7 linked regions of the Danio rerio genome follow. The protein of the gene in region 1 binds, or shares a complex with, the protein of each later gene. Links are inferred from orthologs where the notes say so. Each region holds a gene or a part of one and is shown in the gene's direction. Other genes may lie near its edges. The genes, in order: snrpd1, lsm8, sart1, ppil2, sf3b2, cwc22 and lsm7.

What was found.
Region 2: snrpd1 (region 1) and lsm8 share a complex: the UniProt entries of both Homo sapiens proteins name them as parts of the U4/U6-U5 tri-snRNP complex. The link is inferred for Danio rerio from reciprocal best matches to the Homo sapiens genes SNRPD1 and LSM8.
Region 3: snrpd1 (region 1) and sart1 share a complex: the UniProt entries of both Homo sapiens proteins name them as parts of the U4/U6-U5 tri-snRNP complex. The link is inferred for Danio rerio from reciprocal best matches to the Homo sapiens genes SNRPD1 and SART1.
Region 4: snrpd1 (region 1) and ppil2 share a complex: the UniProt entries of both Homo sapiens proteins name them as parts of the minor spliceosome. The link is inferred for Danio rerio from reciprocal best matches to the Homo sapiens genes SNRPD1 and PPIL2.
Region 5: snrpd1 (region 1) and sf3b2 share a complex: the UniProt entries of both Homo sapiens proteins name them as parts of the minor spliceosome. The link is inferred for Danio rerio from reciprocal best matches to the Homo sapiens genes SNRPD1 and SF3B2.
Region 6: snrpd1 (region 1) and cwc22 share a complex: the UniProt entries of both Homo sapiens proteins name them as parts of the minor spliceosome. The link is inferred for Danio rerio from reciprocal best matches to the Homo sapiens genes SNRPD1 and CWC22.
Region 7: snrpd1 (region 1) and lsm7 share a complex: the UniProt entries of both Homo sapiens proteins name them as parts of the U4/U6-U5 tri-snRNP complex. The link is inferred for Danio rerio from reciprocal best matches to the Homo sapiens genes SNRPD1 and LSM7.

The regions. Positions count from the first base shown.
Region 1 is NC_133194.1:2,232,849-2,237,059, forward strand, and holds the start of snrpd1 (small nuclear ribonucleoprotein Sm D1), read left to right. Parts: upstream 1-1,409; 5' UTR 1,410-1,553; coding exon 1,554-1,567; intron 1,568-2,157; coding exon 2,158-2,234; intron 2,235-4,211. UniProt on the Homo sapiens protein: Plays a role in pre-mRNA splicing as a core component of the spliceosomal U1, U2, U4 and U5 small nuclear ribonucleoproteins (snRNPs), the building blocks of the spliceosome.
Region 2 is NC_133179.1:10,099,480-10,103,857, forward strand, and holds lsm8 (LSM8 homolog, U6 small nuclear RNA associated), read left to right. Parts: upstream 1-1,483; 5' UTR 1,484-1,643; coding exon 1,644-1,674; intron 1,675-3,164; coding exon 3,165-3,205; intron 3,206-3,537; coding exon 3,538-3,665; intron 3,666-3,780; coding exon 3,781-3,871; 3' UTR 3,872-4,046; downstream 4,047-4,378. UniProt on the Homo sapiens protein: Plays a role in pre-mRNA splicing as component of the U4/U6-U5 tri-snRNP complex that is involved in spliceosome assembly, and as component of the precatalytic spliceosome (spliceosome B complex).
Region 3 is NC_133196.1:30,343,761-30,347,982, forward strand, and holds the start of sart1 (U4/U6.U5 tri-snRNP-associated protein 1), read left to right. Parts: upstream 1-1,373; 5' UTR 1,374-1,600; coding exon of another isoform or gene 1,601-1,856; intron 1,857-3,449; coding exon of another isoform or gene 3,450-3,504; intron 3,505-3,607; coding exon of another isoform or gene 3,608-3,663; intron 3,664-4,222. UniProt on the Homo sapiens protein: Plays a role in mRNA splicing as a component of the U4/U6-U5 tri-snRNP, one of the building blocks of the spliceosome. May also bind to DNA.
Region 4 is NC_133180.1:13,584,739-13,588,919, forward strand, and holds the start of ppil2 (RING-type E3 ubiquitin-protein ligase PPIL2), read left to right. Parts: upstream 1-1,324; 5' UTR 1,325-1,432; coding exon 1,433-1,464; intron 1,465-1,769; coding exon 1,770-1,819; intron 1,820-4,181. UniProt on the Homo sapiens protein: Has a ubiquitin-protein ligase activity acting as an E3 ubiquitin protein ligase or as an ubiquitin-ubiquitin ligase promoting elongation of ubiquitin chains on substrates.
Region 5 is NC_133182.1:6,520,219-6,523,914, forward strand, and holds part of sf3b2 (splicing factor 3B subunit 2), read left to right. Parts: intron 1-3,121; coding exon 3,122-3,244; intron 3,245-3,319; coding exon 3,320-3,400; intron 3,401-3,696. UniProt on the Homo sapiens protein: Component of the 17S U2 SnRNP complex of the spliceosome, a large ribonucleoprotein complex that removes introns from transcribed pre-mRNAs.
Region 6 is NC_133184.1:45,378,365-45,382,590, reverse strand, and holds the start of cwc22 (pre-mRNA-splicing factor CWC22 homolog), read left to right. Parts: upstream 1-1,237; 5' UTR 1,238-1,268; coding exon 1,269-1,331; exon of another isoform or gene 1,332-1,477; intron 1,478-4,226. UniProt on the Homo sapiens protein: Required for pre-mRNA splicing as component of the spliceosome. As a component of the minor spliceosome, involved in the splicing of U12-type introns in pre-mRNAs. Promotes exon-junction complex (EJC) assembly.
Region 7 is NC_133197.1:10,401,006-10,405,375, forward strand, and holds the start of lsm7 (U6 snRNA-associated Sm-like protein LSm7), read left to right. Parts: upstream 1-1,400; 5' UTR 1,401-1,415; coding exon 1,416-1,421; intron 1,422-1,663; coding exon 1,664-1,754; intron 1,755-1,857; coding exon 1,858-1,929; intron 1,930-4,237; coding exon 4,238-4,370. Other genes in the region: sass6 (spindle assembly abnormal protein 6 homolog), read right to left, coding at 374-478, 598-677, 767-827, 978-1,042. UniProt on the Homo sapiens protein: Plays a role in pre-mRNA splicing as component of the U4/U6-U5 tri-snRNP complex that is involved in spliceosome assembly, and as component of the precatalytic spliceosome (spliceosome B complex).

The DNA.
Region 1 (4,211 bases):
GAGCGCTCACTTCCGGGATTCACTTCCTGCCGCGGGGTTGCCAGATTCGTTAAATTAAATCTTTTGCTACGTGAAAAAAGTGTCTGAATTTAAAGCTGTATTATACTTATATTATCTCGAAACCCAATTAAAGCTTAAATATGACTATTATTGCTGTTTCTGTTAATTAAAGTATGTTTTTATTAATTTATTTACCTTTACTTGAGATATCGCCACGGGGTTGCCAGATATTTTAAAATTGAATCCACAACTGTGCATGAATGTTATTTTTAATAGAGAAAATATAATTACAAAGACAGAAGAAACTTTATATTATATTATAGTATATTATTTATTCATTATCTAAAATAAATAGTATTTTAGAGATTCACTGTAGTATAAAAAATACGTAAAAATTGTTTAAATTTAAAGTTGTATTATACTTTTATTATCTTAAAACGCATCTAAAACTTTAAATTTGATTATTATTGCTGTTTTGGTTAATTAAAAGTATGTTTATATTAACCTATTTACCTTTACCGTGAGATATTGTCACTGTAGGGTTGCCAGATACGTTAAAAATAAATCTATTCCTGTGGTTGTTAAATGCAGCTTTTTTTTTAAACTGGGAAAATATAAATAGAGTAAAGACAGAATAAAGCTTTCATTATATTATAGTATCTTATTTATTCATTATCTACAATAAACAGTATTTTGGAGCTTCACTTTGATATGAAAATGACACTACATGAAAAATTGTCTAAATTTAAAGCTGTATTATACTTTTATTATCTTAAAACACAAGTAAAGCCTTAAATATGGGTATTATTGCTGTTTTGGTTTAATAAAAGTGTGTTTTTATTAACCTATTTACTGTATCGTCACTGTGGGGTTGCCAGATACGTTAAAACTAAATCTATTCCGGTGGATGTTGAATGCTATTTTTTTGAATTAAGAAAATATAATTACAAAGAAAAAAACAGAATAAAGTTAATATTTTATTATAGTATATTTTTATTCATAGTCTAAAATAAATCATATTTTGTAGCTGCGCTGTGATATGGAAAAGATTTAAACATTTATGAAAAAAAAGTGTCAAAATTTAAATCTGTATTATACTTTTATTATCTTAAAACGCAATTGAAGCCTTAAATATGATTAATATTGCTGTTTTGGTTTTTTAAAAGAATGCTTTAAGGAAACTATTTACTGTGAGATTAAATTATTGTTGTTTTGGTTAATTAAAAGTGTATTTTTATTAACCTATGTACCATGAGATATCGAAATTGAAAAATACTTTTAAGCTATTATCATAATAAAAATTGTTGTAGCAACATTTAAAATTTTAAATTCGCTTTTGTATGTTTATAACATGCTTATAAATGAAATTACCAGCGTGTAAAAATATTCCGGTGATTTTGTTGAGTAATGGCAACCCTTCTGTCCTCAGAATTCTGTTTCCCTTTCACCCAGGAAGTGATTGTACCATCTCTCCAGTAGCGTCCTACATTCGTTTTGCGCTACAATTTTTTCTCATCTAGGTGGAGGATTTTCTCTCAAAGTCCACCGCCATCATGAAACTCGTCAGGTAATAAACATCTACAGCTGTCATACAAGTAAAATACACAAAGAAACTTTGCGGATGCGCGATGTATTTTAATAGATGGAGCCGGATTGTGTGTAGCTGCTAGTTAGCCGTTAGCTTCATCAGGCGGGAATGAATGAATGGGCGAGCGTTTGTTTGAACGTTTTACTCATTTGTTTTAAGCACATACGTGTTTTAAACTATGTAATAAGCGGGTTTAGTCTTAGATTATTAATACATTGTGCGTTTTTTGGTGGTAGTTTGATCATGCGGGGTCTTAAATGCAACAAATACATAAACAGAAACAATAACTGTTAATGCTAAGTTAGCTACATTTATTTACTAGTTTCTAAATATGCTAGCTGTATATAATCATATAATTATGTTAATAGACACTATAGTGTGTAGTTAGGAAGTCTAAAGATTATTGGATATATAGTTTATCATTTGTTTTAAATATAGTTATCAGTTTATTATCATTAGTAAGCTGTAAATACTTTATATAATCATATTGACAAAATGCTTTATATGTAGATATTAGACGTTATGTTATTATAATTGTTTATCATTGTTTTTATGATTGTGACCTGCAGGTTTTTGATGAAATTGAGCCATGAAACCGTCACGATTGAGCTGAAGAATGGCACACAGGTCCATGGCACAATTACAGGTAATTATTATTTTAAGTAATGCACCATAATCACATTTATAAACTGTCTGCTATGTGCCTGTTTCATTAAATGAGGTCATATTATGCATTTTCTCTTTGAATCTGATGCATTACATCTCATAGGTGGCCAATAAATGTGCTTATATTGAGGTGAAGTTGGTTTTATATTAGCAGGTTTAGACTTTGGCGTTCTATGAAATAGCAAAGCAGTATTTAAAAAGGTGAATACAGATTCATTATTTTTTACCACGCTGCTTTGAATATTTGATCTGAAATCACATATAAGAATGACTTCAAAACAATATTAGACCGTAAACAATATTGTGCTTTATAGTCATTTGGTGATAATATGATTCCCCTATTTAGTATTTGCAAATAATACTTTTCTGAAATTATATTAAGTCTGAATGTGTGAATATAAAAACAACTTTACCTCAATTACATCTGTCAGCTCCCGGAAAAAATGCATTTAACCTTTTAGCTGAAAATGACTTGACTTAATTGGATTGTTATGCAATACTGTGCACCTTTTATAAAGCTGCTTTGAAACACTAGTCATTGTAAAAAGCGCTATACAAATAAACTTGAATTAAAAAGACTCATTGTATATGCCCTATATTGTGCTAATAATAATAATTAGAAAACTTGTTATACTTTGTTGATGAATTAATGCCACTGAGTCAGACTCGTATTATAATAATCATGTGAGCAGAAAAACAATAGATCATGGTATTGTGTGAAAATTTACATCTTTACTTGTGGAGATTTTCAATTTTTAGACCAGTGATTCCCAAAGTGGGAGTCGGGACCTCCTGGGAGGTCGTGAGTCCTTGAGGGGGGGTTGCTTGGTGATTTCCAATATATACATATAAATAAATTATTAAAATTACCATATTTTATCCATAACCTGCAGAAGATAGTGTTTAATAGTTACATTTAAAACAAAAACATGTACATAAACAGACAGCAGCGTTTACATTATTTTTCCATTGGATTACGACTCCTTGAGTGATTACGCTAGATTAATAACACAGCAATAGTGTTAGTTGCAGCAGATTTATTTTACGGCTCAATGTTAAACTTTGACACATTTACAGCACTCCTGTACATTAAAAATAAAGGCCACGACTGAACATAGAGGACGATCTCCAAGTGGCGGTCTCCGAAATTAAATCAAGAATAGACTTGTGCTGTATATATTTCACAATTCTCATTAAGTGAGGTTAATATTAAATTAAACAAATGAATAGTGACTATAAAATGATATGGTTGATAAACTGCTGCACTTTTGTTGTGTTGTCAATAAGCTTGTTTATATAGTTGCTATTGGTTTGTGTGTGTGCATTATTGTGTACAGTGTTTGTATGCTTATTACTAGGCCCACACTTATTTTGCGCGAGCTGAATTCCGCTGATGTTTAGCCCATCATTAATTCTGTTTATTTACTTGAGTAAATGTGTGTAAATCTATATTAATTCAGTTTTTACATTTATTTCAGTAATATTATTGACTAATATGAAAATGTTCGTCTGACTTATGTACAATGCAGTTTGTACCGTAATATTTTCTGTCTTTTAGTAGAGATATTATATGAGAGACTTGCTTTGTTTACCAAATAATGTGAATCTAATTGGATTAGCATTTTAAACATTAAATAAAAATTATATAAAGATATTTTTTTTTATGTCATATATTAAGGTTTTAGTTATGATACTCCCAAAATAATTCCGCAGATCTTTACCAAAACTCTCCGCAGAAATAGCAAAAAACGCCCGCAGATTCCATCTGGCCCTACTTATAACCACCTCAGAGGATAGTGGGGTTGTGAGTTACTAAAATTGTTATTTTGGGGGTCACGAGTTAAAAAGTTTGGGAACCCCTGATATAGATCATAGCAACTTTTCATTTCTTGCTAGTTGTAATACACAATGTAACTACAGAAGAATCAAGTGAGATGCTAATGGTCTAATCTGATTC
Region 2 (4,378 bases), on another chromosome or scaffold:
ATTACGTTAAAATCTCATTTATTACACCATCACCATTCAAAATATGATTTACGCTTCTGTAAAAACGTTTCACTTGGTTAAACTTACAAACTCAAGTTCAGCAGCTGCCTTGAAAATGTGAGTCAACTCAACTTGGAGAGATTCTTAAGATGTTGAGTTTTACAATATATTTAACTAAAACTCAACATCTTACATTGAAACAAAGAATCTCTCTAAGTTGTTGCCTCACATTTTCAAGGCAGCTGCTGAACTTGAGTTTGTAAGTTTAACCAATGTGAAACGTTTTACAGTGTGGGCAATTATTGAGGGCCCCCAAATTTCTTGGGGTCCTAAGCGGTTGCTTGCTTCATCTTTCAGATGAGAAGTTAAACCCAGGTCTTGATTCTCTGTGGTCAATAAAAATCCCATGGCACTTCTCGTAAAGAGTAGGGGTGTAACCCTAGTGTCCTGGCCATATTCCCTCCATTGGCCCTTACCCATCATGGCCTGGCCTCCCAATCATCCCCATCCACCGAATTGGCTCTATCACTGTCTCTCCACCAATACCTGGTGTGTGGTGTCCGCACTGGCACTGTGGTCCTGTGGCTGCCGTCGCATCATCAAGTGATGCTGCACACTGGTGGTGGTGTGGAGAGACCCCCCTCATGATTGTGAACCGCTTTTGGTGTAAGATCTATAATATAAATACACATTACATTACATCATTGGTTAGGTCAGTCCCTGATTCTGATGTAATAGCAACGTAATTCCAGAACCACCATACAATTCCATCAAATTTATTAAACATTCAGTACCTTACGAATATTAACAAGTTTTAATTATTTTTTCCATGCTAGTGTGTAGCAAAACACCGTATAACAACTATTTTTAACCACTACAGCACTTTTATATAGTTCAATCAGCATTAATTCCCATAATGGCGATGTACAATTACAATTAGCGTCTGAAATCATCCCACAACCATTGATTGTACTTTTGTGTAAGTGCCGTCGTCATCATTACCACCAGTGTTTCCATCGACCCCCACTTTGACCCTCAAACAGTTAGCCTTTTCAGCAAGAACTGATTATAATCTCTAAAGTTACTCGTTAGAAACAGTATTGTGCTCTCTTCCTTAGAAACCAGAAATCTCCAGAGCGCGTCATCTGCTGGACAAATACCGCATCACTCCCTCACGACGGCTAAACTTCACATTAATTTGTTTAAACTATAAAATTAACTTCATTAGCACTGTCCATTTGTGGTCTATTTTTAACAGTTTTGATTGATGTAAACGTGTGTAATTGTAAGAAATCTATTTAATTATTTATACGCTTATTTTTATGTACGTGTGTTTGTTTTGCTTCTTAATTAATGTTTAATTATTTGTACTCTTACTATATTTATCTTCTATCATCCCTGGCATTAAAATGTGTGTTCTATTGTCGCGTACTAGTTATTTAAAGCTTATTAAATAAATACTAATTCACTCATGACAGCTTTCGTTGCTCCAACTCCATTAGTTCTGCCTGAAGTTGTGCTCAATCGGTCATCGCCTACTCGAGTCTCTCCGTTATCGCTTCCGGCTCAAGAACGAATGCTTTTCGTTGTAGGAGCTAGCGAACGAGCACCGGAGGATTTAAAAACACGCACCAGCAGAAAAGATGTCCACCGCTCTCGAGAGTTACATTCACCGTATCCTTTAATACGCATCGTGAACAGCACGGCGGTGATGTTGTTGATCGATACCCCGTGTTTTGTTGTTGATTGTGTGTGTTTGAGCGTGAAATGTCTAACTTTATATATATGGCGCGCCAGCAAGTGAATTAGCTTTTGATGATCATACGTCGTTATAATTCACGTTATAGCATATTAATGTACGCACATACATTTCTTGAGCAAAATAGATCAGTTCAAGATGATTATCGGTTATCTGGATGTGATATTAACTTCATAGATGCCTGTTTTTTGTCAAATATTTGAGTTTTTTTTTCTGGACCAATGAAAACGAGTCTTCAAATATTTAATTAAGACATATCATATAACTGGAATATTACTATTTACTGTAAATATTACATATTAATGTGTTCACATCTTGCATATCGGGTAGAAATAAGTATATTTGACTGTTTGTATTCATGTTAATCTATATAGATATAATTTATGTATGTAAAACAATCTAGAAAAGTAAAAAAAAAAATTTACATTTTGGATATAAGTATATTTGACCGTTTGCATTCATGTTAATCTATAAATACATATAATCTAATTTATAAATGCAAAACAATCTACAAAGGTTTTAATTTCTGAAATATTTCGTAAAAATAAGTATATTTGATTATTTTTATTTATGTTAATCTATTTATAGATGTAATCCATATATGTAAAACAATGTAGAAAAGTTTTTATTTCTTAAATTTTGCATAAAATTAAGTATATTTGACCATTTGCATTTATGTTAGTCTACATATAGATGCAATCCAACAATCTAAAAAAAGTTTTCATTTGTTCAATTTTAGTTAAAAGTAATTATATATGACCCTTTGTATTTATGTTAATCTATATATAAATATAATCTATGTAAAACAACCTAGAAACGTTTTAATTTCTTAAAATTGCGGTAAAAATAAGTTTATTTGACTGTTTGAATTTGTTAATCTATAGATAAAATACATATATGTAAAACAATCTAGAAAACTTTTCTTAATTTTTGGTTAAAAGTAAGCATATTTGACTGTTTTTATTCATGTTAATCTATAAATAAATATAATTTAGAAATGTAAAACAATCTAGAAACATTTTCATTTCTTAAATATTTCGTAAAAAATAAGTATATTTGATTGTTCGTATTCATGTTAATCTGTATATAAATATAATCTATATATGTAAAACAATCTAGAAAAGTTTTAATTTCTTGACCATGACCATTTGTATTCATGTAGATAGATAGATAGATAGATAGATAGATAGATAGATAGATAGATAGATAGATAGATAGATAGATAGATAGATAGATAGATAGATAGAGAATATGAATCAGTCAATGAATAAAATACTTAATAGAGATTTTGAACACACATTATGTGTACTATATAAACACAAATCCAGAGAACAAATAAACGCAGTGAGTGACCATGCATACATAAAATGAGCTTGAAATTTCCTTGACTGTGATTTTTTTCAAGGGACTGTTGCTATTGTCACTTCGGATGGCAGAATGATCGTGGTGAGTCTTCCTCGTGTACTTTAAAGGGAGTTATCCACCTTTGTGTTTAATAAAGTGCAAGTCAAAGACACTTTGGGAGTGTTTGACTGTATTAGGAAAATCTAAACATTATCACTTGTAACTCACAGCTCCGACACATATTTTTCATTTGTATTTTTGTTTTGTTTAAATGTCTTTTATGTTTAACTGAGGAGAAAAGTCCCCTAGATTGTGAATAGCCTGAGTGTGAATAAATTAATATTAAAATCTGTGTTTTTTGGTGAACTTACCAATTAATCATTGTCTGTGTGCAGAAATGAAGAAGATCGCTTACTGACTTGTGCTGTTTTTAGGGGACGCTAAAAGGCTTTGATCAGGCAATCAACCTCATCCTGGATGAAAGCCACGAGCGGGTCTTCAGCTCTTCACAGGGGGTCGAGCAGGTGGTTCTGGGACTGTATATTGTCAGAGGAGATAATGTGTGAGTATTAAACTCCTTTCTTGTAATTATGTTTATGTTGTGCAGAACAGTGCAAGGTTTATGATTTTTTTCTTTTATTTGGTTGACATAAATGGGAAATTATTTTGTGTTTAAGGGCTGTGATCGGTGAGATTGATGAAGAAACCGATTCTGCGCTGGATCTTGGAAACATAAGAGCAGAACCACTCAATTCTGTGGTGCATTGATGGACAGAAAATTTCATTTTGATCCAGTTGAAAACTTTCCCTAGGAAATCTGCAGGCATCTATAAGCAGCAATATTACCTGCTTTTTTAATCTTGAAAAAGACTGAATGCATATTTGTTTTTTGTTTGTTTTGTTTTTTACGGGTGTTGAAATAATAAAACAAAAAGTGATAAATCAAGATTTTAAATTTTTTAAAAACTTGTATAAAGGGGAAAATATTGGTAAGTATCCATTTTCTGGATAATTCTCAGTCAAAAACAAAAAAAGTAATAAATTAACAGTAAAAGTAAGATTAGGTCCATCTCCAAAATGCCTATTTTATCACCCAAAAGTCAAAAGAAATTTCCGTATTACATGAAGAAATTGAAAAGCATTTAAAGCCCATTTTGTTTTATTGCATTCATGACGATTTAGCTTATTTCCCACAAAGAAAAGCTCATTGCAGTATCGTAAAAATGACGAAAAAAGACATTAATATAAGTGTATATTATTATAAATAATTTGTAA
Region 3 (4,222 bases), on another chromosome or scaffold:
TACTTTTTTGTTGATAGGGACTTTTTAAATAAGTAATTACATTATAATTACATAATTAAGTGTTTATTTACAAATGTGCATTTAAACTAGTTATTACAGTTTCAAAAATAATGTAATGAGATTGGAACAAAGAAACTTGAAAACATTTTAAAATACAAATGTATTATCATGCATCATTTAAAAAAACTAAAACAATTAGGAATCTGTTTAAAACTTGTTTTAAATCAGAAACAGTAGACTATAGGCAAAAAAAAACAACTATTCCAGCTCATATCATTTATTTATTCATTCATTTTCTTTTCAGCTTAGTCTCTATATTAATCAAAGGTCGCCATATAGTGCAATAAACCGCCAACTTATCTAGCATATGTTTTACACAGCGGATGCCCTTCCAGCTGCAACCTAGTACTGGGAAACACCCATACACTCTTGCACACACTCACATACACTATGGTCAATTTAACTTATTCAGTTCACTTGTACCGCATGTCTTTGGACTGTGGGGGAAACCAGAGCACCTGGAGGAAACCCACGTGAACAAGGGGAGAACATGCAAACTCCACACAGAAACGCCAACTGACCCAGCCAGGTCTCGAACCAGCAACCTTCTTGCTGTGAGGCAATTGTGCTACGCACTGCGCCACCGTGCTGCCCGCCAGCTCATATCCTCAGTCGGAATTTGTCCATTTGAATAATTCAAAATTCAGTTTGTCTTAAAGTCTTCTTCTATTGGTTATTTTCACAATTTATGATGGAAACCTGGGACAAATGAGCTCCTATAGCAGCCAAATTCTGGACTTTGTCAGTAGGGACGTGCATGGGTCTTTTGAATCATCCAAACCCCCCCTGGCTATAGGCCTGCTTTTAAAACCAAATATTTGTAATAAAAATAAAAATGATAATATTTATAAATTGCTCATTTATTGTTAGATGCATGAACCTGTGACATTTCTAAAATCTGATTGTTCAAAATAATCAACTAAAGCCTGATTTGTAGGTCTAAATCTCACGCTGCTAGTAGTCTTGCAGAAATTAATCATTACTAAAAAAAAATGAACAAACATGGCTATTAAACCACAGTAATCACCAATCAACCAGGGTTTCGCCACATTAGCTTATGGTGATTGCAGTTAAACTGTATTCAACCAATATGTTCAAAAACATGGTTACTTATACAACCTAATAGTTTCATAGGAGAAATTCATAAACTACAAAACTACATTTTCTTCTTCTGTAACTCAGAGAGAGCATTCATTATTTTATTAAATTAAAATATTTACGAACACAAGTCAAAACCTCCATACCATTAGGTGGTGCTGCAAATCCATTATGCCATTTAACCCGGACGTTATCAGAACAGCACCGCGTTCATCATACGATCGTGTTGTTGCAGTAGAGCAAGTCGCTTTGGCTTAACGTTAGTGTTTACATTTTGCTGCTCAACTACATACGAAATAATGAAATAATATAAGTTGTACCCGATACTATGATGTAATCGTACAGTCAATATTCTGTAAACGTTAACCTGTTCGTCGAGTTATTATAAACAGAAGTGCTTTAACGTTAGACAAACAGCATTTAATCCGCAAACAGACCCAACATGGGATCATCAAAGAAACACAAGGAAAAGGAGAAGGACCGGGATCCCGAGGAGCGGCACCGTGAGCACAAGAAGCACAAACACAAGGACCGAGATAAGGAGAAGGACAGGGACCGAGAGAAGAGAAAGAGGTCTCGCTCCAGGGATAGAAGCAGTCGGGGAGCGGAGAAAGACCGAAGTGGCAAATCCGAGAAGAGCAGCGCGGAGCCCAGAGTCAAGAAGGAGAAGCTTGATCCTGCTTTCGAGGACAACAGCGGTCAGTCTTCCTAATTCAGTATAGCTGTTTTTATATTCGCACATTCGTTTATTTGTGACACAGTGCCTATATTGTACTTTAAATATTCGCTCTTAAATGGCATGCGAGCATGACTTCAAACATTAGCACTATTTAAATGACTGTGAACAATGTTGTACTTTGATAGTCATTGACTACTAATGTAATTTCCCTATTTAGAATTTGTAAAGAATGCTTTTCTGAAATTGTTATGAAGGAGAAAGTCCTGGTCTTCCTGTCCAGCCAGTGCCAAACTACCTGTAAAACGGTGCTGATTTAATGTAAGCAAAATAAACATTAAAATGACACAATTTTTGTTTCTCCAGCATACTATCTTATATAACACTTTACTGAAGACTATAGTTATTGTCAGTGTTGGCTAAAGTTACTTGGAAAAGTAATATGCTGTATTACATTCATAGGCCATTTTTAAAGTAACATAAAAGAGATGGTTCATGCAAATATGAAGAGTTTGCTCTAGAGGTAAAGTTGGTTTTATATTCGTATATTTAGACTTTCTCCTTAATAATATAATTTCAGAAAAGTATTCTTTGCAAATTCTAAATAGGGAAATCATATTAGCAGCAAATGACCATCAAAGTACAATATTGTTCACAGTGAATTAGATAGTGTTAATGTTGTTTAGAAGTCATACTTGCATGCTAATTCCGATCGAATATTCAAAGTAACATAGTAAACAATATAGGGACTTCCAAACGAACGAATGTGCGGATATAAAACCAACTTTACCTCTATGAGTTTGCTCACCCTCAAGTAGATACAGTACAAACCTTTATGAGTTTCTTTCTTCAATTAAACACAAACAATATATTTTGAAGAAAGCTATAAACTAACAGTTGAGTTCATAGTAAGAAAAATATGAATAAACTATAAAAATTCACTTTTTACAAAAGAGTTTCTTTATGTTTTGTTAAACACAACTTGAGATATTTTGGAAAAAAGTTGGAAACCAGCAGTTATTTACTTCCATAGCATTTGTTTTTCCAGCTTCATTCATTTTCTTTTCGGCTTAGTCCCTTTATTAATCCAGGGTCGCCACAGCGAAATGAACCACCAACTTATCCAGCACATTTTTACACAGCGGATGCTCTTCCAGCCGCAACCCATCTCTGGAAAACATCCACACACTTATTCACACACATATACTATGGACAATTTAGCCTACCCAAGTAACCTGTACTGCATGTCTTTGGACTATGGGGTAAACTGGAGCACCCGGAGGAAACCCACGCGAGCGCAGGGAGAACATGCAAACTTCACACAGAAATGCCAACTGACCCAGCCGAGGCTTGAACCAGCGACCTTCTTGCATTTAGGCGACAGCACTACCTACTGTGCCACTGCCTCACCTGTTTTTCCTACTATGGTGGTTACTTTTAATGGTTTCAAACGTTCTTTAAAATATCTGCTTTTGAGTTCCAACAGAAATAAAAGAAACTCCTAAAGGTTTGGAATGACTTGAGTATATTATAATATTTAGGTGAACTATCCCTTTAATTCTTTGATAGATGTGTTTGCATTGAGTGATACTGATGTCAGCGTTTTGTCTTGCAGAGCCAGGTCCTAAATCTGCAAGTGGTGATGCTTCACTCAGCATTGAAGAGACCAAGTATGTATTAGTTGGGTATTTTTATAATGAAAGTTCCAATGCAATACTTGTACATGTATATGCAAATGTACGTTGCTGAATGCCATTACTCATTGCTTTGCAGTAAGCTGAGAGCCAAACTTGGTTTGAAACCCCTCGATCTCAATGAAAACAAGAAAGGTAAGAATAAACATTAACATTCAGTCAAATGTTTTTTTGTATACACTGATGTTTATTTTCTATTTTGATAGTAATAATTGATTGTTTCATTGATTTTATTAAATTGACAAATAGTGACAGTTTGAATAAATATTTAAGCCTTTCATTGATCTATGATTTGATAGGGTGATGGGACAATATTTGGCTATTATACGAGGGTTCCAAAAATAAACTGACCTGACAGATATACTGACACACTGACCTTAAAGTTTTCCAAATTAACGATCCGTATTACTTATCAAAAATTATGTTTTATAGATTTACAGTAGGAAACTTTAGCATGAGCTTTACTTAATGCTCAAAATATTTTTGATAAAAAAGAAAAATCTCTAATTTTTACAAAAATCTATTGCAAAAAATATACATATGCAACATTTATACTTTTAACACCATTCTAGCATCTATATTCATGGCAAGAACCTGTTTTAATTCTATCTTATACACAAGTCGGGGAGGAACAGTTTAGAATCTCAACTTCATCAAATCTGAGTAACAGACTAAACCCATCCTGACAAAGGGA
Region 4 (4,181 bases), on another chromosome or scaffold:
CCCCATTTTGAAAATGAATATTTTTCTCCATTTCTTAGTGAATATAGGAAATGTATGTTGGTGCATTTAAACAAAACAGAGTTATTAAACAGATATATTTATTAAAAAAATATTTTGGTCACCAAACATATTTAAAAATTGAAAAATAATACAATTAAATTCAAGCAAAATATTGTGAAAAATGTACAACTTACAAAATTTCAACTAAATTTTTCATTTTATTTTTTTGCTTCTCTTGATTTTTCCTCTTTTTTAAACTTATATTTAATATTTTTCTCTAACATATACATTTGACTGTACTCGGTTTTTTGACCGTCATCATAAGTTATTTAGATAAGCTCCAGATTTGGCTTCAGTACTGACTAATCTAATGTATATGCACAAATATAATATTATATAGCTTCCTATTAAAAATATGAATTTAATAGAGTGATTTGTGAGGGGTGTAGCCTATATGTTGAGCACTGTATAATCATTAAATTAATAAACAAAATTTGCTCCAAAGTTTTATTATTATTATTGTATGTCAAAAACATCTTTACAAGAAAACTGCATTTTTAATTTTGTACGTTTAAATATAACATATTTAACATCAAACCAAAACATTTGGGAATATGTGCATTCAATGAGTATTCAGGTGTTTCAGCAATTCCTCTAATTCACAAAAAGAACATGCAGATTGCATGTCTAAAACGTTTTTAACAACTTGTTTCACGGGATAGATGAAATGAATTAGTTTATATGTAGGCCGCGCGGTGGCGCAGTTGGTAGCTCTGTTGCATCACAGCAAAAGGGTCGCTGGTTCGAGTTGACGTTTGTGGCATTTGCATGTACTCCTCATGTTGGTGTGGGTTTCCTCCAGGTGCTCCGGTTTCCCCCACAGTCCAAAGACATAGCTATAGGTGAATTGAATAAACTAAATTGGCCGCAGTGTGAGTGTGTGTGAATGAGTGTGTATGGATGTTTGCCAGTACTGGGTTGCAGCTGAAAGGATACAACATACGTAAACATATGCTGGTTAAGTTAGCGGGTCATTCCGTTGTGGTGACCCCTGATTAATAAAGGGACTAAGTTAAGCCGAAAAGAAAATGAATGAATGAATGAATTCATAGGTTTCATGTTTTTTTTATTTTGTGATCAACAAACATCAAACACTTTAAATATCCCCCTCATTATTGAGTATTATTCAGACATCCCAAGTTGAGCATAGACATAATTTACAGTAATTAAAAAACGAATTTTATGAACAGTATCTCAGTCAAAACCGAAGAGGACCAAAAAACATTTTGTTGTTTTAGGTCGGTTGCATTTACCGGTCGCGCCTAGGACACACCGGAAGTAGAGTATTTAAACAGTCGTGCGTTTGTGTTGCTTGTTTATAAACTCCTGAATTTTAATTCTTTTATTTAGCACCACCGCTTAGGTCGCAAAAATGGGGAAAAGACAGCATCAAAAAGACAAGATGTGAGTTGCTGGAGTGAAATATGACACGTTTGCTAACGGTTGAATTTTATTATTTCACTGAAAACTGAGTACGCTTCTTTAACTGTTTGCGTTGTTTGTATTATTTAGGGTTTGTAATGTTTTAATTTTAATTTTGGGACAGTAAGTCGTTCTTCATTCAGCTGCAACGACGGCATTTTGATTAATGTTCATGTATTAGATTCAGCGACGTAACATGAATTATCTAAAGAATGCAAATATGTAAATGACGACGTTATACTCTTTATACAGCTTTCAAATGATTTATTCAATACTCTGTTTTTCAGGTACATTACATCTACAGAATACACCCAGTTTTATGGAGGGAAGAAAGCAGGTATTTGCGTTAACCTGATGTAACGTTACTTCAAGTCATGTCAAGCTTTTGGGACTGTAGGACGTACCATTTTTGTTTCTTTATCAAATTAAATATAACTTATAAGTTACATAGAAAACATTTGAAATGCAAGAAAAGTGTCTATTTGAATATAATTTCACATATTGGTGAAATAGAAATAGTGTTATATCATTTAGCGTAAATATATTTATGCATATAGTCAGTAACAATTATGTTTGGGAAAATTATTCAATAAAAAAATAATAAAACACAAAACAGTTGTCATTTTTCTAGTGGGTCTATATATATATATATATATATATATATATATATATATATATATATATATATATATATATATATATATATATATATAGCAGTGTGATATGGCTGTATATCTGGTGGGAGATGTGCGTTGGCATGAGGCCGAGTGCCTTAGTGCCCCCGCCAGTGCCGATATACAGCCATATCGCACTGCTACGAGTGTGATATTGCGTTTATACAACAGTTTAACGGCATAATTGTGTATATAAAAACAAAATCAAACATGGAGATTCTCAAAAACCCTTTTGTATGAGGAACTACTTTCTTCCACCTTGGATTCAAATCATAAGCTGATAGCTAAACAGCTGAGCAAGCATCTTTTAAACTTTAGATCTGTAGTGTCTGCTTTTTTGCTGGTTGTATGTGGGCGGAGTAATACACAAAAAAAAGAGGTAAAGAGGCTTTACTGGTGCTGAAATTACTTAAATATATCACGGCTATTAGCCAATCAGATTCAAGAACCAGACAACTGTTGTATAAATATATATATATTGCAATAACTTGTTTGAATTTAAATATATTATCTTTTTATTGTTAAAGGCACTAGGTATCCAAACTTTTATTTTAATGGATAAAAATATTTTGTTTAAATGCACCAAGATTATTGGCTGTATTTTCTAAGACGTGGATAAAAATATACATTTTCAAAAGGAGGTTATACTCATTTATGCTGAGCACTGTACAGGGTTCATACGGTCATGGAAAACCTAGAAAAATCATTGAATTTTGACTTGACATTTTCCAGGCCTGGAAAAAAAGGAAAACCCACAAAGTTTTGTAAAAGTCATGAGCTGCGTCCCAAATGGCACGCTATACATTAAGCACTATGTACTTATGCACTAACACAGAGGTTCTCAAAGTGGGGGTCGGGACCCCCCGAGGGGTCGCGGGACAATGAATGGGGGTTGCCTGTTGATTTTCAAAAATCAATTAATTTTTATTAAACCTTAAGACTAACTGTATTTTATCAATAACCTACTGATGAGAAAAAAATAGTTGTTTATAGTTACTATAAACTATATAGTTACTATAGTAGCTTATAGTTACTAGTTCTATTGGATTGCGTCTTCTTGAGTAATTACATTATACTAAAGACACAGCAATACTGTCAGATGCAGCAGATTTTGGAACACCAGGTTAAACTTTCTAACCCATTTACAGCACTGACATACATAAAAAAAACAAAGAATAGACTTGGGTCTATTGGTGTGTGTGCGTCATTGCATACAAGGTTTCTGTATTTATAACCACCACCTCAGAGAATATTGGGGGTCACGAGTCACTGGCATTCTCATTTTGGGGGTCGCGGGCTGAAAAGTTTGGGAACCCCTGCACTAACACACTCAACAGCATAGTATATGTATGTATTGTCGTCCCAAATGGAACACTAACTGTTATTTTGCTAAACGGAAATTCAAACCATTTCCCTGATGACGTTTGATGGTTGCCATATTAGTAAAATAAATGACCAAAGGACCAGATAATATATGCAAGGATAACCGCATTCACCTTCGGGAGGCGCTATAATCACTCTTGTAGGATAATTTTGCTTTCACAATTCAAAATAAATAAAGTAATCCAACATGTGCACCCTATACCAATGCTCCTTCCGCTATGTGAGCAAATCTGAGATTGTTGAGTGCGTGAAGTGTCCAACATTCCACACTTCATTGTAATAGTTGAACGAGTGCATCATCCTGGTATTAAAATGCACTTATTATTTATAGAGTTTTCAGTGTGAACACACTACTTGCACTATTTATACTACAAAATGGCGTAGAATAGTGCGTAAGTATGCGATTTGGGACGCACCTATGGAAAACAGATATCTGTATACTTATAGGTTAGAATATAGGTTAGTTGTCTTGACTTCTATTCTGTCCTTGGCCAATCACATTCTCACATTATTAGTGTGGTTGTAAGCATTATCTACATAAGTTTTACATAGAAATGAATATAAATTTGGCGTCACGGTGGTGCAGTGGGTAGCACAATTGCCTTACAGCAAGAAGGTTGCTGGTTCAAGCCTTTGCTGGGT
Region 5 (3,696 bases), on another chromosome or scaffold:
AAAATGACAAATGTCTGGGACAATTTGTTTTGTGTTCAATCTACCTAAATTTGAACTTAAAAGTTAACACCAATAACTTTTTGGAAATCTTGCCCACTATAATAACTTTTTGGACACATGGTGCACTGTAACGCCTTTTTTGATATGTGGCCCACTATAATCACTTTTTGGACATGTGGCCCACTATAATCACTTTTTGGACATGTGGCCCACTATAATAACTTTTTGCACATGTGGTCCACTATAATAACTTTTTGCACATGTGGTCCACTATAATAACTTTTTGGACATGTGACCCACTATAATAACTTTTTGCACATGTGATCCACTATAATTACTTTTTGGACATGTGGCCCACTATAATAACTTTTTGGACATGTGGCCCACTATAATAACTTTTTGGATATGTGGCCCACTATAATCACTTTTTGCACATGTGGTCCACTATAATAACTTTTTGGACATGTGACCCACTATAATAACTTTTTGCACATGTGGTCCACTATAATTACTTTTTGGACATGTGGCCCACTATAATTACTTTTTGGACATGTGGCCCACTATAATAACTTTTTGGACATGTGACCCACTATAATAACTTTTTGCACATGTGGTCCACTATAATTACTTTTTGGACATGTGGCCCACTATAATTACTTTTTGGACATGTGGCCCACTATAATAACTTTTTGGACATGTGGCCCACTATAATTACTTTTTGGAACTGTGGCCCACTATAATCACTTTTTGGAACTGTGGCCCACTATAATCACTTTTTGCACATGTGGTCCACTATAATAACTTTTTGGACATGTGACCCACTATAATCAAGTTTTGCACATGTGGCCCACTATATTAACATTTTGGACATGTGGCCCACTATATTAACATTTTGGACATGTGGCCCACTATATTAACATTTTGGACTTGTGGTCCACTATAATAACTTTTTGCACATGTGGCCCACTATATTAACATTTTGGACATGTGGCCCACTATATTAACATTTTGGACATGTGGCCCACTATATTAACATTTTGGACATGTGGCCCACTATATTAACATTTTGGACTTTTGGTCCACTATAATAACTTTTTGGACATGTGGTCCACTATAATAACTTTTTGGACATGTTGCCCACTATAATAACTTTTTGGACATGTGGCCCACTATAAAAAGCTTTTTGGACACATGGTGCACTGTAATCACTTTTTTGATATGTGGCCCACTATAATGACTTTTTGAACAAATGACCCACTATAATCACTTTTTGGATATGTGGCCCTCTATATCTTTATAGACATATGGCCCGCTTCAATAAAGTTTTGCACATGTGGTCCACTATAACCTTTTGGACACGTGGCCCACTATAATATCTTTTTGGACACGTGGCCCACTATATTAAGTTGTTGGACCATGGCCCACTATAATATCTTTTTGGACACGTGGCCCACTATAATATCCTTTTGGACACGTGGCCCACTATATTAAGTTTTGCACATGTGGCCTGCTATAATAAATAACTTTATGGACACGTGACCCACTATAATGAAGTTTTGCACATGTGGCCCACTATATTAACATTTTGGACATGTGGCCCACTATATTAACATTTTAGACATGTGGCCCACTATAATAACATTTTAGACATGTGGCCCACTATATTAACATTTTGGATAAGTGGCCCACTATATTAACATTTTAGACATGTGGCCCACTATATTAACATTTTGGATAAGTGGCCCACTATATTAACATTTTAGACATGTGGCCCACTATATTAACATTTTGGAAATGTGGCCCACTATATTAACATTTTGGACAAGTGGCCCACTATATTAACATTTTGGAAATGTGGCCCACTATATTAACATTTTGGACAAGTGGCCCACTATATTAACATTTTGGAAATGTGGCCCACTATATTAACATTTTGGACAAGTGGCCCACTATATTAACATTTTGGAAATGTGGCCCACTATATTAACATTTTAGACATGTGGCCCACTATATTAACATTTTGGATAAGTGGCCCACTATATTAACATTTTAGACATGTGGCCCACTATATTAACATTTTAGACATGTGGCCCACTATATTAACATTTTAGACATGTGGCCCACTATATTAACATTTTGGATAAGTGGCCCACTATATTAACATTTTAGACATGTGGCCCACTATATTAACATTTTGGATAAGTGGCCCACTATATTAACATTTTAGACATGTGGCCCACTATATTAACATTTTAGACATGTGGCTCACTATATTAACATTTTGGAAATGTGGCCCACTATATTAACATTTTGGATAAGTGGCCCACTATATTAACATTTTGGAAATGTGGCCCACTATATTAACATTTTAGACATGTGGCCCACTATATTAACATTTTGGATAAGTGGCCCACTATATTAACATTTTGGACATGTGGCCCACTATATTAACATTTTAGAAATGTGGCCCACTATATTAACATTTTAGACATGTGGCCCACTATATTAACATTTTAGACATGTGGCCCACTATATTAACATTTTGGATAAGTGGCCCACTATATTAACATTTTAGACATGTGGCCCACTATATTAACATTTTGGATAAGTGGCCCACTATATTAACATTTTGGACATGTGGCCCACTATATTAACATTTTAGACATGTGGCCCACTATATTATCATTTTAGACATGTGGCCCACTATATTAAGTTGTTGGACATGTGTCTCGCTATATTAACATTTTGGACATGTCATGCCTCTACCCCTTTTTAATATCTCTACTTTAGTTACTTTACACGCCCCTTGCTGCTGATTACGAGTGTGACTCGTTCTGCACTGTGGTCAAAAGTGTTTCTCAAATATTGCTCAGTGCACCCTTTATTAATAAATAACCCTTATTATTAAATGACAAAATAACACTGGATATTAATATCTCACTTTTCAACGTGTGGGTTTGGAGTTGCATTTAGATCTTCGATCCACTGCGTGATTCATGCTCCTCCATCACAGCACGACATCCAACCAGATTCACCTGCGCTGATGTTTAAAACTGGGAAATGTTGTTGCGAGTCATATTGTGATGGATATGGGCATTGAACAGGTTTTTGTTTCTCACAGCTGACAGATGATGTGAAAAAGGAGAAGGAAAAGGAGCCGGAGAAGCCTGAAAAGCCTGAAATCCTGTCCTTTAAGAAGAAGGGGTTCGAGCTGGAGAAGAGGGACAGCGACGACAGTGATGAGGTCAGTGGAAGGACATGTAGATGTCTTATGGTCTAATAATAATCCTGTCTAACTCCTCCACTTCCTGTTTGACAGGAAATCAAGAAGGACTTACCCAAGCTGTCTAAAAAGAAGCTCAGGAGGATGAACAGGTTGACTGTGGCTGAACTCAAACAGGTAATTTAACTACTTTAAAGGGCACCTACTATGCAAAAATCACTTTTATAAGGGGTTTAAAGGCAGTTGTTCAGCTACAGTGTGTGATTATGATCAGCTTTTAAAGGTAAGTTACAATCCTGGTCTCGGACATCAAGGACATAACTTACGAATTAAAATTAAAAATCCTTAATCAAAAAGAGGTTTAACCAAAATGTAACAAGATAACAGGGATTAAAAATATAATCCCTGGTGCCCCTGCGCTCTCTCTCCCTAGATATAAACCAAAAACACAACCACTGAGAATTAACAAGAAA
Region 6 (4,226 bases), on another chromosome or scaffold:
ACCTTTATTTCTGAGAGTGTGTTATGTCAAAAAAAAAAAAAAAAAAGAATTTTGCACTTAAATTCATCCAAAAAAAAAATGTTTTTGTTCTAGAAGTGTGTGCAAATTTGTGCATAATAAAAATGAGTTTTTTTTTTTAACCTTGGTTTTAAATTATAAAAGCAAACAAACCAATTATTAAATCATTTATCTTGTGAAAATTAAAATATTTTTATTTACATTTCATTAACAATAGTTTTATTTTATATTATTTCATTTTATTGCTGTATCCAATGCCCAAAATAATGGTTTGATATTTTCTGTTTTTGTTTCTATTTGTTAAGTATTAATATTTACTACTTATACTATTACTACAACTAATAATAATAATAATGATAATAATGGGGCGGCGCAGTGGCGCAGTAGGTAGTGCTGTCACGACACAGCAAGAAGGTCGCTAGGTTGTTGGTTCGATCCTCTGCTCAGTTGGCATTTCTGTGTGGAGTTTGCATGTTCTCCCTGCTTTTGGGTGCTCCGGTTTCCCCCACAGTCCAAAAACATGAGCTACAAACGTGTGTGTGTGTGTGTGTGTGTGTGTGTGTTTTTGTTTGCGTGTGTGTTTGCGTGTGTGTTTGCGTGTGTGTTTGCGTGTGTGTGTGTGTGTGTGTGTGTGTGTGTGTGTGTGTGTGTGTGTGTGTGTGTGTGTGTGAGAGTGTGGATGTTTCCCAGTGATGGGTTGCGGCTGGAAGGGCATCCACGACGTAAAAACTGAATAAGGATAAGTTGGCGGTTCATTCCTCTGTGGTGACCCCGAATTAATAAAGAGACTAAGCCGACAAGAAATGAATGAATAATAATAATGTTGAAAATTATTTAATTAATTTTATTGTACGGTTGTGAAAGTGCAAATCCTATATCAATGGTTAATTAAAACAATTCTGACATACAGTATAGCTGTGATTCCTGAAAATAATATTTGCATAAATATACAGTACACCTCTGATTCCTGGAAAAATATAGTAGTCTTTGTTTTTCCCATTAATCATTATATTTACATTTCTTACCTATGTTCTAAACAGAATCTTAAATTAGCTTCAAGCCATTAATGTAATGTAAAAATAATATCAAGGCATCTGTTTCCTGACGCATAGTTGTTTTTCCATCAGTGATGATAATCATCCAACATATGTTCAGTATTGCAGTTTGACTGCTAAAGAAAAACGCGTTTTTCCACACTTTTGGAACCTCGCGAGGCCCCGTAGCATCACTTCCGGAATACGGCGGGAAAGATGGCGGCTGAGTCAAACGAATCTCAGACGGCAATGAATATGGGGCCTACATCGAGAGATGAGGTAAGAACTTCGCTGTTAGTTCCAGATTATGAAGTCGATATGTTTGTTTGACCGCGCTGAGCAGTTTTAAAGCGGCTCGTGGATGTGTTCCGGTGGGATTTTACGGGTTGTGGGCCTGCACGCGTGGAGCAGATGGCGCTGCTTTGGTTTGTGTGAGATCATTTGTGTACATTATGAACATAAACACTCTGATTTAAACCCATGATAAACTATTATGTTTGTCATTTAGTCCACTGAGTGTCTGTAAAATTCAAGTTACATTTGAAAGACAAGTTACGATAGGGATTAGGCCGAAAACGATAACAATATAAACCAATTACCGTTCAACAAGTAACTTAATGTTAATCAAAATCTAGTTTAACGTTACATATTTATTGCGTAGGCCGACATTTCCATATTTTTATATCACGTTAGTGAAATCTATTTTAAAAGCAATGAGATAAAGAGAAATCTATAGACAACATCGTATCGTTTATGATAGGAAACATTTGTGCATATTGATTTAATACATACGTTAGTGAATTAAATATATTGAAAGTCCGTGTTAATAATATATGACCTTGGCTGAATTTTTCGTTTAAGATTAGCAAACGTAATGCCTAAACTCCAAATATTGGTACAAGTTTGTTATTAAACTGTTTCACTGCTTAGATTGTATTGTACGTTCATTAAATTGTTATAATTTTGCTGTGCCCTTTAAAACCTTATGCTAAGTTAGGAGAGTATGTTATGGTCTTTTTCCCCAAACATGGTTTTTATGTACCTGTGCTATTTTTGGGGCTTTAACTATTTTGAAAACAGTAACATTATGAAATACTATTGCAATTACAAAAACAGTTTTTGTACATAAATATATTTTTAACATGTACTGTTAATCTCTTTGAACATTTATTTATTTATTTGCGGCTGAACTATCATAGTATGACACATCGTTTGGGAAAAGAACGATGTAGTGATGAATGTTTACCAAAATCCGTAGTTTCTCTGTTGCAGATCCTTCATTTGAACCTTGTTAGGTATAATGTAAAACACCCATAAAGCCTGGTTTATACTTCTGCGTGAAGTGATCGTCGTGACCCACGGTGCATGCAACGCATGTAGCTGTGCATTTATACTTTTGCGCACTGTTTCTGTTGTTCTGCAATAACACTTCCGAAACGCTAGTTGGCACTCAGGTGTTAATGTTCCTTTGTGTCGAGGTTCTTCACTAGTGTTTTGTTTTTTCTGAACGCTTCCTAAATGTACAAGTGGCTCAAACTCACTCATTTTGAGGCAGGAACCGACGGACGTGCAACAACTTTAACCATGAGGTAAATACAAAACAAAACTTTCCATCCGGAGCTCCTTCACGAGTCTCTACACTTGTAAACAATAGCTCCGCTTGGTCCCATCCTGAATCTCCAGCGCTACCAAGCCGAGCAATCAGATCTTGTGCTACGCGTCACTGCGACATGTAATTACATTTTTTTGAGAGGTGCATGTCAGCGACGGCCATTGCGTAGGGCTATGCGTCAACGCGTAGGCTGCACCGTAGCATACGTGCGCTTGACACAGAAGTATAAATCAGCCTTTAATGATTCTCTAAACGGGGTTAACAACTTTCTTAGACACGAACAAGTAATTGTGGCCCTGTTCAGGCAGGTATTCAGGTTCATTTTTCATCAATCTGATGCAACTTTTATTATTTACAAGACCTAAAAATGCAATTAAAAGTTTCAAATCAGTTAAACTCAATTTATAAAAAGACTAGCCTATTTTATGCATTAAATAATGAAATGTATAACTAATTTGCTTTATTTCCGATTAGACCATGCACTTAAGTCTGTTTTACAGTTTTAATATGTGCATGCGCTTGTTTAAAATAGCATTCGTTTAACAAAAATTTTAGCACATCGAAAGTAATTAAATTACCTGTCTTTTGATTAAAACCTTTATGCAAAAGGATCAGAAATGCACCCAAAAAAGGCAATCATCCGACACTTGACATGCATAGCTCTCATGCCACATTTTCAGGATAAATTCGCATCTAAGTGCTGCTTTGAATATAATAAAATGATTTAAAAGCACATTAAAGACTTCACTCATAAAATAAAACATTCTGTGACATAATTTTGATGATTGTTTGACCCATTAGTTGCACAAAGTAATTGCTTTCACCAGCGTCAAACATTCACCAGCGTGTAGTTCCCTTAAACTGTGAAAAATACATATAAATACATTTAGATCATTTACTACAGTCATTACTATTGGAATGTAAAGAGACTTTCAATCAGCACAGCAAAAAATGTTTCTAAAGACAATCACCTACTGCACCTTTAAGAACAACGACAGCAGGAATAAGATGTTTTTCTTTAAGATGCAGCACATTGAAAAGCGTTTAGATGACACAATTTTAAAGACGTAACCATTCCTATTGTGGGTAGCTTTCTCTTTATTCCCAGTATCCCCGACACGGCTAGTGAAAGTCTTCAGGATCCTTAGAAACATTAAGGCTTGTGTATTATCTGTAGCTAAACTCTGCAGGACGGTGTGACCCTCCAGGAGCAGAATTGGACATCGCTGGTTTAAATCATGATCTGGCTGTTAGTTATTTGCTGTAATTTGCAATGATGCCACTCTTTTCATTGGCACTGAAAGAAACTCCAGTCCAGCTTTTTTAGGTTTATGTAGAAGTGCTGATATTGCTCTCGCTCCCCTTACTCATATATTATCCTTTTTTTGTTGTCGGCCATGCAGTGTGTTTCTGAATGATTTATTCCTTTAGTGCTCAGCATTCTTAGTGTGTGTGTGTCTAAGTCTGAAATACCAGCCTACCTGCTGAATGGCAGATCCATGTTTGAAAGAGTAGTTTGCCATAAGTTTGCAGAAATCACTCGAGTCTCCCACTGCGTACAG
Region 7 (4,370 bases), on another chromosome or scaffold:
TGCTATTATTATTTTTAATATTAAGAAATGCTTAAATGACATTATTTGATTTGAAATTTAGAAGAAAAAAAGAAATGTTTTCAAACATGTACAGACAAATACAAATATAGAGTTTTCAAGGGGTCTCTTTATTTTTTCCCATAGATAGATAGATAGTTAGATAGATATTTATAAAATTTTATATAAGTTTCATTTCAAAAAGTTTATATTTTTGAAATAAACACCAAACAGTATTAATATTTGACTCAGTGAAGAACCAATAAGAAATTTTTGTCCTGAGGTTGACTAAATCATCAGTAATTATTGACTTTAGCCTGTCTATCACTTTAACAACTGCAACATCTGAACATTATTATGAATTATAACCTCTTACCGTGGGTTTTCTTTGTCCTGTTCGCAAATGCACTGTTCAAGTAAGTCTATAAATTTTTGTGGGAATGATGTGAAGTCTATTAAAAGCCCTTGTTGTACTTTTAAGCTGTGAAGAAGAGCAAATAAAAACGATTACACAGAATATAATCACATAGAAGCCTAATAGCAAAGTGTTGAAAATAAATATGGCTCATTGATGAAATGACACTTTTAATACCACAATACCTTTGAAAATCCTCCTCTGATATGATAAGGTTGTATAAAAAGTAAAGATCAGTATCATCAGTCAGCCGTACAACTAAATCCTGTTGATCAAAAATTTAAAAAAAGTTATAAGACCACATAAAACATGCTTAAAGGCATAAATATGGTTGTACACATGTTAATAACAAACCTTTCTGTGAACAGGGCTGGATGGTAACTGCAGTTCAATGCTAACGCGAATAACCGAACGCCTGTAGTAACAAAAACAACATATATAAACACATATAGACCCTTACAGACTTCGAAATGTTAATAATTACAGACAAAATAAAGCCAAAATTCATACCATAAATCAATTTAAGTTAGGCATTGTGTTCAAAAACAAGACAATCAACACAAACCTCTCATCGGTATCTTTACTCTTCACCAGCACCTGCAACCGCTTGTTAAAAAGTAATTCCGTCATTCCTAATTCATTCACAAAGCAACGATAATAATTAAAAATCGTGTAATCCTGTTTTAAAGATGTTATTTAGGTTGTTGAAAGACTCATTTGTTTTTCGCGCTTCACTCCCGCGTTTGTCCGTTTCCAACCGGAAGTGAGAAACACTTCAACCTAATCACGCGTATCATCGTATTTCAACATGTTTTTGTTTTTATAAATCGTATAATATAGATATAAACATTTAAAGCTGTATATACTGTGTAGTTGTGCGTGAATAAAGCTGATAAAATTGAAAACATTTGATATCAGAGTTCACCTGCGCGCGTTGTGATTGGCCGAGAGGTAGACGTCAAACGTGAACCCGGAGTGGGCGGGGCGTAGAGGAGTTTTGAACATGGCGGTGAGTAGCGCAAACGTTTCCACACCGTTCACATTATAAACACTTTTAAGGACAAACGGCGTTATAAACAAACATATAAGCACCTGAATATATCCTACACTCTTGATATTTATGTTGTTACACATTAGGGTGTGCTGGTAATTGTAAATGTGATGTGTGGTGTATTTTTGTGCTAAGCTACGAGTCTGATATTTATTATAGAGGCCTGGAGATTGTTATATAATATGTTTTTGGATCCTCAGGACAAAGACAAGAAAAAGAAGGAGAGTATTTTTGATTTGTCGAAATACATCGACAAACATATACGTGTAAAGTTTCAAGGAGGTCGCGAAGGTGAGGGAGTTGCTTTATGAAATTAATTATGAATTTAAATGTTTCACATTATGATATTTAAATGAATTGTGGTAAATTTGACACTAGTGTTTCCTATTTTCAGCAAGTGGCGTCTTAAAAGGCTTCGACCCGTTGTTGAATCTTGTGTTGGACGGCACCATTGAATACATGCGAGGTAAAATGTGCTAATGTAAACCGAATATGTACCAAATTATGTTCTGCATTAAATTTCTCACAGTATTAATGTTAGTGTGGTTTGTTTTGAACAAATTTTAGTGTAAATGCTGCAATTTAAATTATAAAATTAATCAATTTATTAAATTATAAATTATATAAAGCAACATACAAACTCTTGTGGGTTGACTGATATATAAATGCATCTAAATCAACCCAAAGAGGACATGATGCCATGATATTAAACATAAAAAGGCAGAATGCTCCAGCATAGCTATTTTTGTCAGCATAACAATGTTGCTCCTTACCGTTCAGTTCAGGCATCAGAAACAGTCTCAGCAGATCTTCATTTGGGTGTGTGTGAGCCAGAGGAAATTCTGGTGTTGGTTTGACACATTTAATATGGTTTTCTGAGAGAGTTTAAATGCACTTGAAGTTAAATAGTTCACCCTAAAAAAATGAATACTGTCATTGTTAGGCATGGGCTGGTATAAGATTCTGACGGTTGATAACCTTAGGTTGAAATATCACAGTTACACAATATCATGTTATTGTACATACTGCTCCAAAATATTTTATTTTTAAATGTCTGAGTAAAAAAAAAACTTTTCCCCCATTGAACATGGTTTATATTTTTTAACATTTAAAATATTTTGAAACTATAATGTCAGGCTAAATAATTTATTGTTTATTAATTGTTGAATGTCATTGACTTCTGCTGTCTTAATTAGTTTCAAAAGCACAGATTTCTTTTCAACTTGAAAAGGCATCTTTGGATATCTTTCTTTTCTTTGGATATAAAAAAAATCATCTACACTGTTCAGCTCTACAGCATGCTGGATGTTGGTTTATAAGAGATTTGTTTTTCAGATGTTTCCTGAATCATGGTAACTTGTGATGTGGATGGTCCTTTTCTATTGTTGCCCAAAAAAACTCAATAAAATAGTCGTAAAAAAAAAACTTACAAATACCTTGAGAACGGTATAACAGACAATTTTAACGTTTTTAAAACCTTGACTTTTCAAACCGCGATAAACCTTAAAACAGTTATTGTCCCACGCCTAGTCATTGAATACTCACCCTTTATATGTTTCAAACCTTTTTGAGTTTCTTTCTTCTGTTAAACACAAAAGAAGATATTTTGAAAAATGCTGAAATCTAGTAGTGAAACGGTTAGTTTTCGGATAAACTATAACTAAAAAAAAAACAACAACAGGTAAATAGAAAAACACAGATTGAGAAAGCTGAGACACATATTCCTGAATGTGATAATATGCACCGAAATGTGTCGGGGGACCTGAAAATGTAATGAACCCGACCCTCTGCTTCCTGTTTAGAGGTGGTGGTGTTGTCAAAGAGCTGAGTGTTTTACTTTAACGTCCTAGTTGTATGATTCCCTGGTGTTTGGATAATTTTAGCTTTAAATGCTGACAACACCACTGTCTCTAAAAAGAAAGCTGCCCCAAAGGTCCCCCAAAACATTTCTATGTGCATATTTTGGAAGTTGCATTCACGTTACTAAACTAATGACGATTAATTCTCAGTTTGTAAGTGTTTTTCTATTTGCATGTTTACACTGCATTTGTCCTCTCTAGGGCACCGTATTTAACTGATTAAAAAATGTGTGCATGCACATACAGCAAACAAGTGTATCTAAACATACAGAATTGTTTTGAAAATTTAAAGTCACAGAATCCACCGCGGTGACTGAAGCTCTGCACATGACTTTTGGTCAGCGGAGAAATTAAAATGGTCGTGCCCAACTGAGTCTGGTTCTCTCAAGGTTTTTTTTCTTCACTCCTATCAGGTGAAGTTTTTTTCCCCTCTCCGCTGTCGCCACTGGCTCGCATGGTTCAGGATTGGTAGAGCTACGCATTGATGAATTTGCTCTTCAGTGTTTGAACTCTCAGTAATGATTTTAAATCACACTGAACTGAGCTAAACTGAACTGAACTGAACTTAAACACTAAAATCTGAACTACACTGTTCCGGTTACTATGACCATTAATGTGAAGCTGCTTTGACACAATCTACATTGTAAAAGCGCTATACAAATAAAGCTGAATAAGCTGAATTGAATGTCATAAATGCAGCTGCTTTTCTGTCAAAAATCAGAGTATGAAAGCTTGACAAACTAGGACTATGTATAATTTTTTTGTTTGGTCCAAACAAACTGACTAAACTACAAGTGTTAACACATCCGAAAATACGAAAAAACCCCGCCCTAAGAGTAAAGACATCTGTGTTTGACTATTATCATTATATCAATGGTTTTATATGATTTCTGACCACATTTATTTCCCACACAGATCCTGATGACCAGTATAAACTGACCGAAGACACCAGGCAGCTGGGTCTGGTTGTTTGTCGAGGGACGTCTGTTGTGCTCATCTGTCCACAGGATGGGATGGAAGCTATCCCGAACCCTTTCATCCAGCAGCA